Callithrix jacchus: one gene and its partner. The protein of the gene in region 1 interacts with the protein of each later gene in a pairwise test. Links are inferred from orthologs where the notes say so. Each region holds a gene or a part of one and is shown in the gene's direction. Other genes may lie near its edges.

The links.
Region 2: the proteins of POMP (region 1) and PSMB7 interact in binary tests that used the Homo sapiens proteins (3 or more experiments, as listed by UniProt). The link is inferred for Callithrix jacchus from reciprocal best matches to the Homo sapiens genes POMP and PSMB7.

The regions. Positions count from the first base shown.
Region 1 is NC_133506.1:147,825,236-147,829,701, forward strand, and holds the start of POMP (proteasome maturation protein), read left to right. Parts: upstream 1-1,564; coding exon 1,565-1,567; coding exon of another isoform or gene 1,568-1,700; exon of another isoform or gene 1,701-1,948; intron 1,949-4,466. Other genes in the region: uncharacterized protein LOC128932219, read right to left, coding at 1,350-1,700. UniProt on the Homo sapiens protein: Molecular chaperone essential for the assembly of standard proteasomes and immunoproteasomes. Degraded after completion of proteasome maturation. Mediates the association of 20S preproteasome with the endoplasmic reticulum.
Region 2 is NC_133502.1:172,977,894-172,981,704, reverse strand, and holds part of PSMB7 (proteasome subunit beta type-7), read left to right. Parts: intron 1-2,700; coding exon 2,701-2,852; intron 2,853-3,811. UniProt on the Homo sapiens protein: Component of the 20S core proteasome complex involved in the proteolytic degradation of most intracellular proteins. This complex plays numerous essential roles within the cell by associating with different regulatory particles.

The DNA.
Region 1 (4,466 bases):
TATTCAGTGAACTGTGAGCAATCAGCAAATGTTAAAATGATTAAAAAAAAAAAAAGATTAGCAGCTTTACAATTTCTCATTAGTTGGAATTGACTGAAAGAAAAAAGATGCAAATGAAACACTCCAACTCAAATCTCAGGATTAAACATGGCTATTTTGAAGGACCAGAAGACAACTAAAGGACAGCAGGGCAGAAAACTTACCATCTGGAACTTCGAAGCTGTATGACCATGGCAGTGGATATATGGCCTTACCGTTTCCCTCTCTCAAATCCTTGGACGGCTTTTTATAGACAAAGCCTCATCCTTAATCTTGCCTACAAAGGCTGCATAAAAAAACCTGTAGCTAGGTTCCATGATACATGCCTGTAGTTCCAACTACTCTGGAGGCTGCAGCAGAATTGCTTGGGCAACATAGCTAATCCCATCATTATTTAAAACAAACAAAAACGACAGCAAAAACCACTTGCCTCCATCTACTTACAACCTCATCTCACAGTACTCTGCACTTTCTGAACTTAGGCTGACTTAGATATTCTTTCCAATTCCGTTTTTGCACAAGCAGATCTGCCCATCATGTTATTAAATACCTTACTAGCCCAAACTAGTTTGCTCTTATCCTTTGGCTATCAGACCGAAGATTCCTTAAGATGTCTCCATCCTGTGGTAGCAGACCATAAAGCCGTTTTACTACATTATATTTGGACAACAATACAGTATAGTGTTATGACCATAGATTCTAGACTCAGGCTGGGTCCTTAGGCATATTGAACCCCTTCATGTCTTGGTTTCTTCACCTGTGAATTGTATTCGTAAGGTTATTGAAAAGATTAAAGGAGATAAAGCATGTAAGCACTTAGAACTGTGCTGATACGCAGTTCAAAGAGCCCAGCATACGTCGGTCATGATCATATTTACTCAATTCGTAGTCACTATCCTTCGTTCCCTCCCCCTCCAGCCCCCGGAGTACCCCTGCTCCTCTAGCCCAGAGGCCATGCCAGCCTGGTCCTTTTTTGTATTCCTAGCCTAAGCACAGAGTTGTGAACATAGCAGGCCTTCGATATTATGTTTTTTAAAAAACGACAAAAGCCTTGTGTCCCACTTTTACTTTATTAGCCGAACGATCTCAAGCAAATCACTCAAATCCCCTAGGCCTCGTTTATCCTTCTGTGAGATATAATAGCTACCTCCGAGAGGTTTTGTGTTAAATAAAGCGATGTACCAAAAGAAGCACGTTGCACATCTTAAAATGCCGTACAAACTGTAGATGTTTATTAATAAACCGGAGTCCGTGTCTTCCCTCCCCTCAGGCACGTCTTGTCCCGACCCCGCTCTCCCCGCAGCCCACACCCTTACTGCGCCCTTGGCCCGCGGTCCCTCGGGATTGCAAGCGTGGGAGCTTCGACCTGGGGCAGCTCCCTCCGGCGTCCCGCGCCCTCCTTCCTTCCTCGCCCGGACGGACGCACTTCCGGCGGATGTGGGGGGGCAGTCCCTGGAAACGGAAGTGAGCGGCGGGGTCGACTGACGGTAACGGGGCACAGAGGCTTTTAGCAGAGCTGCTGAAGATGGTGAGTGAGTACTCGGGCGGCCAGAGTTCCACGCGGGCTCGGGATCGTGGCTCGGCAGAAACAAGCAGTCGCCTCCCAGCCCGTCCCCGGGTGGCGGCGGCAACCTGGGGATGAGGCCGGCCTCGGGAGCCATAATCTGTCGAGTCACGGGGTTTGGGTGGGTCGTGGCTGTCGCCGGGTCCCGGCTCCGGCACTGGTCCCACGAGCAGCGGTTCGGCTTCGTCCTGCTCCTCTTAGCTCGGTTTGCTCCCTTCCACCCCTTATCCCCTAGCAGGCCCAGACCTCCTCCCCTTACTTGGTGCAGACGTGGAAACTACAAACCCGAAAGTGCAGCGTCCTCTAGGGTGGCGCCGCCGACCCTTTCCTTGAAGGGTAACCTCTGGGAGCCCAGAGTGCTCAGACTCCTCATCTCCCCCAGTCCCCGCCCTTGTAACTGTCTGGTAACCACCCCACAACTATAGGTCGCATTTGTGTAACGCAGCTTTGCTCTACAAACGTTTTTGAGAGCTTGTTGTGTGCTAGGTGTTAGAAGGCGATAAAGTCAGACGGTTGCTATTCCCCGTTTGTCAGTATTGTTAGTACATCTCCTCCCTCCGTCTATCTTCACTCCCTCTCTTCTTCCCGCCCTCTCCTCTCTACCACTTTCTCTTTCTCTTTCTTTTTAACTTAAAAGTTGTGATATTTGAGAAGAATCCTGAGTCACCATTGCCACAGACTCTGGTACAGATACTGTTGGTAGGCCATCCATCCAAATCTAGAAAGCTTCTGTTGGTAAATACTGCTAATCATTGTTAAAAAAACGTTTTATGGACACTCCCAAATGTAACTAGTAGTTAGGTTTTTGTAGATTTGCCTTTCTCGGCTGCTTTCTTTATTAGAAACATTAAGTTCTAATCCTGATATTTTACAGAAGGAAATTGGAAAAAATAATGATAACAGAATCTAGAAGTCAGAATTCACTTTTTCCTTGTGCATTGAAACCTTCTGTCACTTTACGATAAAACAGCCCAGAAGTAGGAGAAGGTTGGTATAGGGAAGTAATAGAAGCCACGTTTGGAAAGAACAATCACACAGCTCTACCAAAGGTCCCCAACCTGTGGTGATTCAACAGTTTTCTGACTTTATGATGGTGTGAAATCCATACATAGTCAGTAGATGCCACACTTGAGTACCCACACAGCCATTCTGTTTCTCACTTTCAGTGCAGTATTCAATAAATGACAAGGAATTCAATATTTTTTAATAAAGTAGGCTTTGTGTTAGATGATTTTGCCCAACTGTAGGCTAGTGTAAGTGTTCTGAGCACGTTTAAGGTAGGCTAGACTAAGACCTGATGTTTAGTAGGTTCGGTGTGTTAAATATATTTTTGACTTTTGACATTTTCAATTAAATATGGTTCATTGGGAAGTAACCCCATCATAAGTCAAGGCGCATTTGTAGTCCTGGGGTTCAGCTCCTTGGTGCAGATGAGTAAACAAGGCCAGAGAGGTTGGTGCTTTGCTGGCAGTCACAAAGTAGGTTAGTGACAGTCTACGCTAAAGTCCAGATTCTTTTCCTCGTCCACCATGACGACTTGTATGTAGGGGAGTTGGAACCTGTTATGCAGGTTCTTTAGGTCCAGGCTAAGGACTCTGAACTTTAGGCTTCAGACATTGATGAACCAACAAAGATTTTATAGCAGTTTTGTTGGAGGAGTTTCGTGCTTGAGGAAATCCTTGATATGCAGAACTGGAAAATGGGTGAGTCTAAGGCAGCAAGATCCAGTAGAATGCTGTGGAAGTTATCCATGCCTAAGAGGCTGGGCTAGAATGGTATAGTGAAGAAACCCTGGAAAGGATAAAATATCTGACCAAATCAAATATATAAACGAATTAAGAAACCAGTGAAAAAGCTGACTTCTCAAAATATTTTCTCCTACAATAATACAACATTTGATAGCAAACTGCCTGTAGCTGTTTTACATTTTTTCTGCAGAATCACAGGGGTATTGGACTTGAGCAACAAGTGATTTAAAGTTAGCATCTTGGGGTGACTCACACCTATAATTCCAGCACTTTGGGGGCACTGAGGCAGGAGGATCACTTGAGCACAGGAGTTTGAGACCAGCCTGGCCAGTGTAATTGAGACCTTATCTCCACAAAAAAATGTAAAAAATTAGCCAGGTGTGGTGTTGCACGCCTGTAGTCCCAGCCACTAGAGAGGCTGAGGTGGGAGGATTGCTTGAGCCCAGGAGGTTTAAGCTACAGTTAGCCCTGATTGCTCCACTGCATTCTAGCCAGGATGACAGAGCAAGACCCCACCTGAAGAAGTAAATAAATAAATAAATAAAGTTAGCATCTCGTTCTTTACTTGTTGAAGCACAATGTTTTATTTGCTTGATATATTTTCATAAGATGAAGCTCTGGGAGGTATACATGTATATTCAGTATCTAGCAGAGTACCTGACACATAATAGATGGCTAATAAATATCTGGTGATTGCGCATTTCACAGTATAAATGTGTAGGGTAATAATACACCAATACCAAAGGCACTGTCTTTTTTGTTTTGGCATATACTATCCTGATTAAATACACATAGTTTTTATGGGTAGTTCCATCTTTATTTAGAAACCAAACACTTTCTGAAATTCCCTTTTCTTCCCAGCTTCTGTGACTACTTTTATTTAGCCATCCTGTCTATTCTTAATCCCATTTCTTTGTTGTTCTTCCTTGTCCTCAAGGAATGGTATTCCTGAGGATTCTGTCCTCAACTTTTTTATTCGGTGTTAAACATTCTAACCTAAAGGAGAAGTTTTTCCAGTAAAAACAAATTCAATCATGCCATAACCTTTCAGAGGCTGTCAGTTTTGGAATAAAACCCAAATATCTTTGCATGTAAGACGTTTCGCTTTTGTATTT
Region 2 (3,811 bases), on another chromosome or scaffold:
GGAGTGAATGACACAGCCTTGAGTCAGGGACTAGTTGAGGAACCCCCGGCCCCAGGAAGGTCACTTGCAAGTTGGTGTGGTGCTGTGGCCTTCTGGCTCTGGGACCTGGGGGCTTGTCGTCCTATTTTTTGTTCACCAGCTGTTTGACCTTGTGTAAGTCACTGACTCAGCCAGAGTTTCTGACGATACCAACATCAAAAGATGGGTGGGGGCAGGGATACACATGATGATCAGCAAAGTGCCCAGCTCAGTGCTTGGCACATAAGAGTGCTGACAGATGTTGATTGATTGATTTAGTGGGCATATAGGTGCTCCGTAAATGTAAGTTTCATTCCATCTCCTAACATCTTCAGCCATATGAATATGAGACACGGATGGGATTGGAGGGGGGAAAGTGAGAGACTTGAGATTGTCTTCCTTTAGGAATGATCTTCCTTAGAATTGGTGGGGAGGAAAGGAATTTAAAAGATTTATTTCCCTAATTAAAAAAAAAGCCTTTATTTATACTTAAATAACAGCATACATGATAATTTTATGAGTAAATGAAACTATATAATTTTAAAATTTGCATATTTTAAAGCTTTATCAGTTACTTACAGACTGTTTGCAAAGTAGAGGGAAGATCACTCGTAATCTTACATGGCACTGTCAGCAGTCTGGTATCCTGTGCCCAGTCGAATCAGTTGACATTAGCTATGCATGTCTCATGTCATTTGTGTATTTCTGCTTCCCCCAAGTCTTCACCCTTCCCCTTCTACCCAGATCATTTGGAAAATGTAAATGTGCAGTCCTAAGTGCTGCCTGCAGGATTGTGATGTCCGCCAGGTACTGTTGGCCGGCTCTAGACCCCAGCAGCAGTGATGAGATGAAAACAAAGCAGGGGAAATAGTCAAGTGGTAGAGAAGAGAAGAGGGGAGCAGAAGTGGGAGGCCAGGAACAGGGGACCAGTATGGTGTTCCCAGCACGTGCCCATGTGCGCACACACCTAAGGCCATTTAATAAAGGAAGCAGTTTGGAATGAGGTTGCAATTTGCTGAATTAGTGGTTGGCTTTTGCTGTCTAGATAGCAGCTGCCGCCAGCTCCTCATCTAAGAGGCTTCCTTTGCTACCACCTTCACTGGTTTCCGGAAGCCTTCTGGTCCCATAGACTGTTGAGAATTCCTAATTAGCAGATCCTGTTTGAATGTATTCTTACAGGTCTGCATATGTACACATTGGCCTCATTGGCCCCACACAGGTGTCACACGGAAGTGAAAAAGCCTGGGGAATAAATATCAAAGGAACCCCTAGCTGCTGGTTTGCTGAGGAGTTCACTTCCAGCGGAACCTTCTCTGTCCTTCTCTGAGTCTGTAGAGGGCGCTTATGTCACTGGAATACTAGTCTGTTGTGGGGCAGGCAGAGAAGGGCAGGAGTCCCGAGTGGGTTCAGATCTTCTCAAAACTTGAGATTAGCGGATCTGCCCTTTGAGGGTCTTGGGCTGGAATTTGGGCCTGGATCAGGGTTTCTACAAGCTTAGATGAGCGCTGTAGTGCACCTTGCATGTTTGTGTACTGTCATGCCCTCGTGGACTGGGAGGGAGCCGTAGTACATGTTAGATTCCCTGCTTTCAGGGAGCCTGCTTCATTTTTGTCCTCGTTGTGCACAGAGCTTGAACTTGGTGTTCCCCAAGTCCGGTGCCATTGCCTTCGCTGCCTGCCTTCTGTTTCACTGCTGTTTCCTGAGTGCCTCATGTGCAGCCTGCCCTTCAGCCTTCCCTGAAGCTCTGCTGACCAGCTTGTTCCCAGCTCCTCCTCACATGCTCTTAGCCAGCCTCACCCTGCATTGCACTTGCTTGGGTCAGATGCCCCTGCTGGACTCTGAGCCCCTAGAGGGCAGGGATTTGGGGGTCTCATCCACCTCTGTAGCCCTAGCTCCTAGTATAGGACCTAGCATGTGATAAGCCTTCTTGGATAAGAAAGGGATGAATCCATCTGTTCACCAGTAACTGTTAGGGGTGGGGATTTGTGCTTAAAGGCAGAGCAAAGGAGAAAGTGTTTCAAAGTAATGAATTACTTCAGTAGACTTGTAGAGGCCCCCTTAGGAGAGACAGATTCTTTTGGGCAAGAGGTCCCGCCTTTGGTCTGCCAGCATTTCACCAGATCTGCTGTTGTGTTTTGGTGTTAGTCCCCGCCCCCCACAAAATAATGCTGACTTTCCCCATTGTGTTACCAGGAAGTAACTTCCAGCTGTTGTGGATGTTCTTGATCAGGGCTTAGTTAGTAAATTGCAGTCTGCTGCCTGTTGCTCATAGTGTCAGATTGGATCACAGTTGCACCCCTTTGTTGATGTATTTGTGTGTGGCTGTTTTGTGCTAGCATGGCAGAGTTGAGTGGGTGTGGTAGAGACTATGCCTACAAAGCCTAAAATATTTACTCCCTGGCCCTTTACAAGATCAGTTCCTAGCCCTCAGTTCTGCTGTGTGGTGACTGTCCGATGTGGTGGAGACGCAGTGCGTACATAACGAGTTTTAAGGCCCGGGCCAGGAACTTCGGGCACATCATCGAGGTACTTTGAGATCTTTTACTCATCTGTGAAATGGGCATTAAAAGCAACACCTACCTCTCAGGAGGTCTCGCCCGCTGCTAGTAGAAGCATGTTGTGGATGTCAGAGCAGGCCCTGGTTCAGCTATGGACGTCATTGCTGCCGTTCTGTTTTCTCAGGAGGAGGAAGCCAAGAAACTGGTGAGCGAAGCCATTGCTGCTGGCATCTTCAATGACCTGGGCTCTGGAAGCAACATTGATCTCTGTGTCATCAGCAAGAGCAAGCTGGATTTTCTCCGCCCATACACAGTGCCCAACAAGAAGGGGACCAGGTGAGTGAAGGAGACAAAGTTCTTTCTGGGTCCCCTGGCTTCGTGGCCACCCTTGGTATCTCCATGGCATCTGGATGGAGTTTTCTTGGTTCTTCCCATGTTAAGTACATCCAGTGTTCCCAAATCAGCCTCCCACAGAGAACTTTGGCTCATTACTTGCTTTATGACAGTGGGGTGCTGTCAGGTGTAGGAGAGTGATTTAATTTGATGGGAGGGGTGGAGGGTGGCCCAGGAAAGAGCCCTAGGCTGGGAAGTGCAATAGAGAGGTTTGGATCATCTGCTGCCCTTTCTCACGTGTCTTAAGAATCCCCTGAATTCTGTGAGAAGGTACATTTTTCACAGCAGCCTCAGCACTTTCCCTCAGAGTGCTCCGAGATTCCTAACTGGGTGTAAGCAGTGCTAACAGACTCCCAGTGGTGGCCTGGAGCTAATGTGTGTCTGCTGTGCTACTGGGAGTTGTGCCATTTAGCCTGTGCTACATGCTGAGTGGGCCCCTTGGATCAGTGGTACAGCTCAGACTCACTGGTGGGAGAGGTTCTAGTTGATCTGCTGAACAGAGCTGGAAGTTTTCCAAACCTGGTGGCTGTCATGTGTCAGAGGAGCAGCTCGTTTGCAGTGTTTCATGATCATCCAGCTGCTTGACCGTCCTATGGCTCCTACCTCTTCTGGGACCCCAAGCAGCTCAGGATGAGCTCCCTGAGCGCTGCTTCCGGCTGTACCCATCTGAGTGCAGCACAGGGTATTTATATACTACTGCTCCCACCCAGCCCCATGGCTAGCCCAGAGGATAGTGAGCATCACCTTCTGCAGGCTTGCTTTCATCTCCCACTGCACACTCAACTCCAAATCAGGAGTAATTCACAAGGAAAGAACAGAACATTCAGAACCAGCAGGTATTCACCGTGGTCTGCATTCAACCCTGCGGAAGCTCAGTGGGCCCTTGGTGGAGTGGGGCAGCA